Linked DNA regions of Caenorhabditis elegans. The protein of the gene in region 1 purifies or fractionates together with the protein of each later gene. This does not show direct contact. Each region holds a gene or a part of one and is shown in the gene's direction. Other genes may lie near its edges.

What was found.
Region 2: the proteins of T28A11.17 (region 1) and C25H3.14 fractionate together in Caenorhabditis elegans (co-fractionation; one large-scale study listed by BioGRID). This does not show direct contact.

The regions. Positions count from the first base shown.
Region 1 is NC_003283.11:3,262,959-3,268,556, reverse strand, and holds T28A11.17 (Peptidase_M13 domain-containing protein), read left to right. Parts: upstream 1-2,267; 5' UTR 2,268-2,302; coding exon 2,303-2,362; intron 2,363-2,718; coding exon 2,719-2,829; intron 2,830-2,878; coding exon 2,879-3,100; intron 3,101-3,327; coding exon 3,328-3,629; intron 3,630-3,672; coding exon 3,673-3,883; intron 3,884-3,948; coding exon 3,949-4,095; intron 4,096-4,162; coding exon 4,163-4,276; intron 4,277-4,561; coding exon 4,562-4,738; intron 4,739-4,793; coding exon 4,794-4,931; 3' UTR 4,932-5,075; downstream 5,076-5,598. Other genes in the region: T28A11.18 (T20D4.11-like domain-containing protein), read left to right, coding at 510-641, 1,214-1,624, 1,670-1,729.
Region 2 is NC_003280.10:5,693,094-5,696,876, forward strand, and holds C25H3.14 (Acyl-coenzyme A thioesterase 13), read left to right. Parts: upstream 1-2,289; 5' UTR 2,290-2,300; coding exon 2,301-2,575; intron 2,576-2,953; coding exon 2,954-3,038; intron 3,039-3,093; coding exon 3,094-3,165; 3' UTR 3,166-3,265; downstream 3,266-3,783. Other genes in the region: eif-2D (SUI1 domain-containing protein), read left to right, coding at 167-451, 496-669; C25H3.3 (Acyl-coenzyme A thioesterase 13), read left to right, coding at 1,113-1,387, 1,433-1,517, 1,560-1,646; C25H3.10 (F-box domain-containing protein), read right to left, coding at 3,601-3,783.

The DNA.
Region 1 (5,598 bases):
ATAAACATGTATATGACAATACTGTTGTAGCATTAAAAAAAAGCAACATTAAAAATGAAGTAATGGATATATTCTGAATCTGAAACATAGAATTAGCCAAGTTTGGAAAATTTAAAAATATGTAACTTTTGGGATGGTCTCTAGACTGTCTTCTCCGTTCAATCTCATTCGGATGACGATTTCTGGAAAAAAGAAAAAAGCAAAAGAAAGCACTTGCTATCTTCTGTTCTTAGTGTAATTTTGAGATTTCTTGGGGTCAAAAAATTCCGGCATCAACATGTTTGTGGTGAAAAAGGGATACGTCTCAAGGTACAAATTTCATTGATATTGGTGGAACAAATGTGCGATCTAAAATCATCAGAAACTTTTCTTGAGCTACTCCAGGAACAACGACAGTTGACACATTATCATCCCCTGAATCGTTTAAATAGAGTTCACCGTATTGAAAGTTTTCAGTCTAACTTTTTTCCTTTTTTAATCAACTTTTAATATAATTTTTGTTTCAGAAAATGATAGGATTCCTCAAACTTGCCATTATTGGCACTGTGTTTTTGGGTGTTGTTCATCAAGCAGTTTCTACGGCAGCACAAGACGCCGGCTGTACTGATGAAGAATCACTTAGGACACATTCTTGTGACCTGGTGAGTTGTTTTTTTTGTTTTCACGCAACTCGATGATATCGTATTAAATGTGAATAGCGCCAGTGTGGATATTGCTTTAACACATGCCTATGGTACCATAAAGACCAAATATCAAAAAAAAAGTTTTCCTGCCAACATTTTTAAGAGAAATTTAAATTCCCGCAAAAGTTGGTCTCGCCACGATGGGTCTTACCACGATGGGTCTCGCCACGATGGGTTTCGCCACGATTGGTCTCGCCACGGCCATATCCCCCTACTACTACAGTACCCCGACTATATCCTCCAACTTTTTTTCTCCAGAAGGTTCTGGAACATTCCAGAATTTTCTCAAATTTTCCAGAAGGTTCAGGAACATTACAGAATTTTCCAGAAATTCCCAGAAGGTTCTGGAACATTTCATAATTTTTCCGAAGTTTCCAACATCCCTTCAAAAGACGAAAAGTAAATTTTTGCCAAACTACAGTAATCCTACAGTACTCCTACAGTACCTCTACAGTACCCCGACAATTTCCGTTTTAAAGCAATTTCCTCACTGGCGCTACTCACCTTTAATTTCAAATATTTGAATTTAGGTTCTGGCCGATTTCCTCGAAAATCCTGGCAACCTCGACGTGAAGAACAAAAAGAGGTTAAAGGAATACAAGGATGATTGCCATAACGTACTCAGTTGCTACAACAAAATCAAATGTTTGGGAACAAATGGGGAAAAAATTCCAGCGGTTAAGTATATTGGAAAGCATTGCAGAGCTACGGATTACGTACACGATGATTTTGCCAAGTGTAGTGACAAATTGAATGCAAAGAAATCAACATGTTTCGATGACTGGGACCCAATTCCAAACAACGTCACTACTGAAAAAGTCCCAAAAAAATTTGACCAGTTGATGAGTGAGTCTTGTAAAACATGTTTTGGAAAAGACAACTGCATGATGAAGGAAATTAAAGAAACATGTGGCCAACAAGAGTGGGACTTATTCCGTGTGGTAAAAAGCTTCTAGATAATTTCTCTAAAAAACTTTCATTTTCAGCATTTCATAATTATCGCTGGTGGATTTTTCGACAAGTGTGACTTCAGCAGGCTGGATTAAATTTTATGTGTTGTTAAATGACTCCTACAAAATTAATCAAAAGTGGCAAAACCTTATCAAAACTTTTTTTTCAAATATAATTTTACGATTCGCGTTGTTTGTGAGACTTTGAAAGCTCTTGCAAAAAATCAGAAGTTTAGGAGAAACATCACAGAAACAGTTTCCTGTGTTGATTACAGAGTGTTTAAAGCCGCAAAAATATTTGGGGTGGCCTATTCTGAGAAATCACTTTCAAATCACACAATTCTCGTTTTGAAGTCCAAGGCTTTAAGAACTTACTGTCCATGTCAGTAGTATAAAAAAGAATTTTCAAGTTTGTCCATCTTATGTCGCTACGTTCTGAAAAAGTGGCAGTTACCCTATTTTTGAAGTTTGGTCTTTTTTCGATGAATTTATAAGATTTTTCAATAAAAAAGGCTCTTCTTCTTGTTTCATCAGCAATTGGTCAGGATCTATGTGAATTAGAAATATTTTTAACATTGGGGCAGAGTTTTGAAGAACAAGGTCGCTCCAACATGTGGCGTACAAATGAACACATGCCTTTTCACATTTTGCTCCTAATACTAACTGAGAATGAACTTCCTGTTGGTACTGACACTAATTGTGATTATAAGTGTGCAGAGTAGACAGGAGGTAAGTTTTTTTCTAAACTAAAGTACTGAAATTGTAGAGTTTTTCGGTATTTTCAAATTAAATTTATTGTATTTCGAATATGACTGACTTAATAAAAAAACCAAGTATATTAATATTTGACTAGTTTGATCAATTTCCTGAAGTCGAAATTTGACAAAATTTTCGGAGGTTTGTGATTGTTGGTATTTGTTTTGTTGAAAATTTCAAAAATTTAACTTGGAACCTGAATATAAATTTTTCCGAACAGAATGTATTTTCTCTAACGTTTTCTCTAGTCAAATAATGATTGTTGTGTTCGTTTCAAGAATGTTCCAGATCGGTGCTAGCTTTTTTTTTAATCAAAAAATAGTTTTCAGAATGTTAGTCTGGATCCTTGCAACGACTTCTACGATTATGTGTGCTCAAATGACACCAGAAGCATCACTGAGCTTAACTTCACAAGTTTATTCGAGGATCGAGAGATACTGGTAGTAGGCTCCCTGTCATGCATCCAATATTACGCAGTAATGGTTTCAGAATCCGAACATTTCATTTCCGAATAACGGGACCTACATCACATTTGATCAGATTCTTAGCCCGTATAGCTTGATGATGTGGTATATGGTGGTCAAATCAATGGATACGCCCACTGTTGGTTCTGAATTTTTTGATGAGGCGACACGCGAATATGCTACAAAGAAGAACAATTCGGAGAAATTCAGTTTCGCGTTGGAAAACCTGGAAAACCTTAATCTAACGGTAAGAAAACTCTGGAAATTTTTGGAATATTCCAAATTTAGAATTTTAATTTTGTTTAAGGTTCACGGAAAAAAGGTTTGCTATTCCTAGTTCCAAGAAAGCAAGTGTATTGGATTTTCTTTTTATTTTTAAGAGAAATTATATAATTTTTGGAGGGAATTTAGTTTTATAATAACAATTTCAATACTATTTTCACATGCTAATTTTATAATTTTTTTCTATTCCAGTTGACAAATGTTTTCTACAATTCTCTCTACGCCAATATCGAGGTCCTCAATCAGCTTAATCTTCCAGCCTCCGAAGAAAACGAATATCTTCATCATATTTTCGATCTAATGAAAAATAATACTATCGAGGAGATTTGGAGCAGTTCTTTATCAAATAAAAGTAAAAAAGAATTTGAGAAAGAACTGAACAAGTCAAAAGTAATTTTTGGACTATTGGATTATAATAATGTGACAATGCTAGAGGAAACTAAACTCATTTACGAGACGGAATATTATCGACTCAAAAGTTTATTGTCGTCAAAGTAAGTAGAATATTGAATACTAACCTTTAAAATTAGTTTTCAGTGATCTTGACACAGAAATTGCGGAGAAAATCATCCGTTTGGGAGCCACTGATACCGCGACAAAAAACTTGGGGAAACGAATTCCGGGCTATACACCGCAGTTTTTGTTCTCCGCTTTTGCGTCGAATATGGCAAACGAGGCGTTTAATCAAAATTCAAATATTTATTGTGGAATTGTCACTCGAAGTGATTTACAAGAACCCATTTTAACGGTGAGAAAATATTGACCATTAATTTCCTAAAAACAAAATGCCGAGGCTATCTTACACTTTTCCAGATAGCCGACACCATTTTTGTACTCGCCCATGAGCTCATGCACTTTGTCTATCCATTCGGAATACGGTTACTGCCTTCTAATGTTACAAAAGCAGCAAACAAGTGTACACAAGATGAAGTCAAGATGATGGGTGACTCTGATGCCGTGGTGAGCTAGCAAATTTCTACTTTTGCTTTACATACTTCCCTGTACTTTTCAAAAGTGACGATTTCAGAAGCCAATAGATGGATGGTTCAGTGAAAACATCACTCACGAAGATCTTCCAAATTTATTGGGATTAAGGATGGTTATGAAGATGGTCGCAAGGAAATCGGCGAATGAAGAGCAGGTAGGAAATATTTCAGCAAAATTAAAGTACGCGAATTTCGGAACGCCTACATTTTAGATAAATTGGATAGGCCGGCGCGGCTCCAAAAGTTGCCGGGTGCTGGAATTTTCGGCAACCTGCAACCAAGTTTTTTTTATTCTACAGAAACCTTGGAGTTACCAATAAAATCAAGAAAATTAAAAGGCTCCAAGGTACTTGTAACGAGCACAAAAGTTGAACAATTATGCAAGTTAAAAAATTATTGCTTCCGTGAGTCAAGTCGCCGCCAAAAATTACATATTTCAGCTGAAAAATGCGCTTGAAACAATTTTGAGCGGATTATGCATCCAAGGCAAACCAAAAAACTCAATTCTACCAAATCATCATCCCTTTGAAATATCCATCAACACAGCCGTTCGCCAATATCCATTGTTCAGTTCACTCTATGGATGTCGCCTTGGTGATCGAATGTTTGCTGAACCGGTACGGAATTTAAGATGAAAAAAGGAAAATACGGTATAGGTATCTATTTTTTTAGGAAAAGTTTTGCAATCCACTGGGAGGCGACGTGAACTTGGAGGACTATAAAATCAAGAATGATACTGAAGATGTCGGTGGATTCTTCAATTATATAATGGATACTGCAAATGCGTTTAATTTTTCTTTTACGAATTGATTTTTGCCACAACCATTCAATATGTGCTTGATGTTTTCCCACAGTTTCGTGGGTTTATTTATAACCGTTTTTATGCTTTTCCATCAAATTTTAATGATATTAGTTTTTATGTTTGTTCTTCAAAATACACTTAATCAAAAAAAACCACAATTCAAAGCACTGAACGGGATAGTAATGTATACTTGTTTGAAGATCAACAGCCTGAACTTCATGATTCATTTTTCTCAGTTTGTTTGAGTTAGAATAAAGAGAAAAATCAGAATAAAGAGAAAGTCAATAATTTGGAAACTGTATGTGGAAGCTGATTTTATCTGGGTCTACAAAAAATCTACACTTTTGTTTATTAATAAGGCAAGTGTTTATTAATAAGGCAAGTGTTGAAATATGGAGATTTAAATTGACGGTGTAGTTTCGTTGGTGCGTGATCCAATAGGTCCTGTAAAGTGAAAGTTGTGACGATGTGCATAAAGTAAAATACTTGGGAGTTTACTGTAGTTGCAAAAATGTGATTTTTATTTTCAACAATTTGTAATTTTTAAACATTCAAAGATGTCATACCCCAGCGCTCTAGGAGCTTCACAAAAGCTCCTAGAGGGCTTGTTATCAAAATTCGACATTTTTCCCAACTCACTTTGAATAACTGAAACTGAGAAAGTGCCCACATTGT
Region 2 (3,783 bases), on another chromosome or scaffold:
TTTTTTGAGAAAACACATTAGATATACGGAGTCTATCGCGGACCTCGATCGATGTCTGCTGCGCATTTAGCATAAGGTTTCCCAAAATTTCGTTGCTCTGATCAGAGATCAAACTACATAGGGACAGAAGGACACGCGCTTTATATATAGTAAATGATGTTTTTAGAAACTTGCTGCTGGAGGATCAGTTCGTCTTGATCCAATTATCTTTTCGGTCACTAAAATCCAAACGGATACAACTCCATGGGCAAATTTGATGAAAGAAATCCATTCAAGAATGACTGCAACATGGCACATAAGATGGCCTGACGGCAGAGAAATAGTCAGAAAAGTATCTCCACCGAGAGTTGAATTCAAGATCGAAAACCGTGCTGGAAACAAAAAAGTTACTCTTTTAAATGGATTAGCGATGTTTGGAATTGACATTCGAACGATTTGCCATCAAATTCAGGTAGTTGGTGGCTAATCCTTAAATACTAATTTCTGAATTTTCAGACTGGTGTGGCTACTAGTGTTACAAGTCAATGGGAAGTTCCTGGCGTCGAAGGTCCTCAAGTACTCGTTCAAGGAAATCAAATTCATTTTATCGCTGATCTTCTGATAAAATCGTATGGAATCGACAAGAAATTTATGAAAGGAACCGAGTTGGCGGTGAAAAAGAAGAAATAAGAAAATTTGGAGAAATTTGCAAATTCAAATAGTATTAAATCTGTTCAATGTATTCCCTCACACCTTAATTTTTTTGTTTTGAAATTCGGTCTTTCTTTATTTATTAAATACCCGTGTGTTTCTAAGTATGGGTTGTATTCGTATTTTCGGTTCCATAAAGATTCATGAAGAACTTTCTCTTATCGTTTTGAACATATCCGCTTGGTGAATTATCAGTGCCAATTTAAATATTACACATACGCGAACATTTTCGATTTTCGGGCAGAAAAAAAAGGTATTAGGTCTCGCCACGCTTTTTTTGTGAGATAAAAACGAGGGTGTGCCTTTAAAGAGTACTGTAAGTGTCGAGACCTGGTGCCGCATTTTGGACCCAAGATTTCGCGTCTGGGGGATAAATTGTTCTAAATTTTTAAGATGTTAATCCATTTTCAGATTAAATCAAAATGCCTTCAAAATACATGCAATTGGCGAAGGAAATCATCAAAAATTATGGAACCAAGGGTCAATTCGGATGTGTTTCCGGAGCAGGAAATGTGAGAGCAGTTCATGCGGAGGAAGGAAATCTACGAGTGGAATTTGAAGTTGAGAAAGATCAGTCAAACCATTTTAACACTCTTCACGGTGGATGTACATCTACGCTCATTGATATTTTCACTACTGGGGCTCTTCTTCTCACAAAACCAGCTAGGCCAGGAGTATCTGTTGATTTGCATGTTACGTACGTAAAGAGAGAAGAAAATTGTCGAATTTGATAGATTTTTAGATACCTGACCGCCGCTAAAATTGGTGAGACCCTTGTGCTCGACTCCACCGTCATCAAACAAGGAAAAACTCTTGCATTCACAAAGGTAAACTTTAAGAAAAGTTTTAAAAATATTATTTTTTTCCAGGCAGAACTCTACCGTAAAAGTGATAATGTAATGATTGCAACTGGAGTACATACCAAAGCATTCCCAACTGTGAAGAAAGCAAACTAATCAATATATTCCAAGACATGGAAATTTGCGATCCGTGCGCCAAAAATACGGTATCCGGTCTCGACACAAAATGTTTTGGTTAAATGAAAAAAGGTGTGCTTCTTTGATGAGTACTGTAATTTTAGACTCTCGTTGTTGTTGAAATTTCATTGATTTTTCAACAATTTCCCATCAATTTTCGATAAAAAAAACATTTATTAATTTATTTTAAAACTCCCATACATCAATTAAAACTTTTTTTTTTCAGAAAATCGCGAAAAAAAATCAAGAGTTGGAATTTCCAGTAAACTTTAATGGCGCACACACCTTTTCCCGTTATAAAAAAAGTTTTCGTGTCGAGACCGGCTACCGTGATTTCTGCCCAAAAATCGCAAAATTTCGTGTCTGGAATACCTCCTAAACATAATTCCTAGACACAATTTCTAATTTGATCGTTTTGAAAAACATTTCCCTTGTGTACAAAACTATTATTCCGCAATAAAATTGTAAAGAATTCTTGTTTTTTTTCCAATTTTCCATAAATACTCGTTTTAATCCGAGTACTCTGTACATGTTTTGATGGTAAGAGAATCCACGCAAGTCTACGTGGTTATGAGATTTTTGTTTTGAAACAAATATTTTTAAATCATATATTTTTTCTAAGATTGCTTGAAAATGGCATCAAAATACATGCAAATTGCGAAGGAAGTGATCAAAATGTTCGGGACAAAAGGACAATTCGGTTATGCGGCTGGAGCACGGAATGTGAGAGCAGTTCATGCGGAGGAAGGAAATCTACGAGTGGAATTCGAAGTTGAAAAGGATCAGACAAATCAATTCGAGACACTTCATGGTGGATGTACAGCAGCACTTATCGATTGTTTCACAACTGGTGCTCTTCTACTCACAAAGGAAGCGAGGCCTGGTGTTTCAGTGGATTTGCATATTACGTGAGTATCTATATCTAAATAGAGGTTTCCTAGATTATGCAATGATTTGAAACATATAAGTCTTGCGAACAAGTGCAATATTTAAGCCAAAATTCAGTGTGGGGTCCCACCACGACCGAAATGTTCTCAGCTACGGTACCAACGAACTTTTTCTAATGTTTTCTAATTTTTCCATTCCAACCTTTAATTTAAAACTACAGATTTATTGCAAAACCAACAAAAAAGAGAAATCTACCGTACTCACGAGTACGGTAACTGAAAAGTTTCGCTCATTCTAGTACCCCCATACCTATATTTTAGCTTTATAATCGTTCATTTTCGTAAACTAATAATGCCAGAAATTCAGGAGAAAATATTTATGATCATCGTAACTTCCAGATACTTGACAGCTGCAAACATCGGAGAAACTCTTGTACTCAACTCTACTGTCATCAAACAGGGGCGCTCTCTTGGATTCACTAAGGTATCATATTTTTTTATTCTTGAATATTTCTGATTACAAAAGTGTTTTATTTCAGGCAGAACTCTATCGTAAAAGGGACAATGCAATGATTGCTACTGGAGTCCACACCAAGGCGTTCCCAAAGTGATCGCTCACCATAAAATAAATAATGTTATATGCAAATTAAACTAGAATTATTTTACCATGTATTCCATTTCATTTCAGAAAATAAATATCTTTATCAATATATGTGTTTGTTTGCCATTAAAAAACACAAATATCGGAAGTGAGAGATCATTTGTTGTAAGGATAATGTGTTTTAAAGGCTCCGTATCACACGCCAACGCTCTGAGTTGATGCTCAGTGAAATACCAAAAGTGACGAAGAAGCTCAAAATTCATATTTTTTGGATGCAAATCATAGAAAGAAGTCTTATAAAAAATTCCATTAAAAAATTCCGAACATATCTTGCTGCGGTTATGTTGGAGGCAAGAAAAAAAAAAGAAATCATAATCGCCTTCGATCACTTTTTTTATACACATTGTTTATCATGAAAACTTATTCCAAAACAAGATACCAAAATTCACCACAAATATTCTAAAATTTTCAATTGCCTTATAACCAATGATGGCTGTTTCGAGAAGTTTGTACTTTTGAAGAATCCAATTTCAAGTTCCTCTTTTCCTTCGTCTAGATCCCGAGACACTTTCCACGTCGTTGGTGTTTTCTGGCAACTCTCATTTTTCAGTAAAATCAATAATTCGGG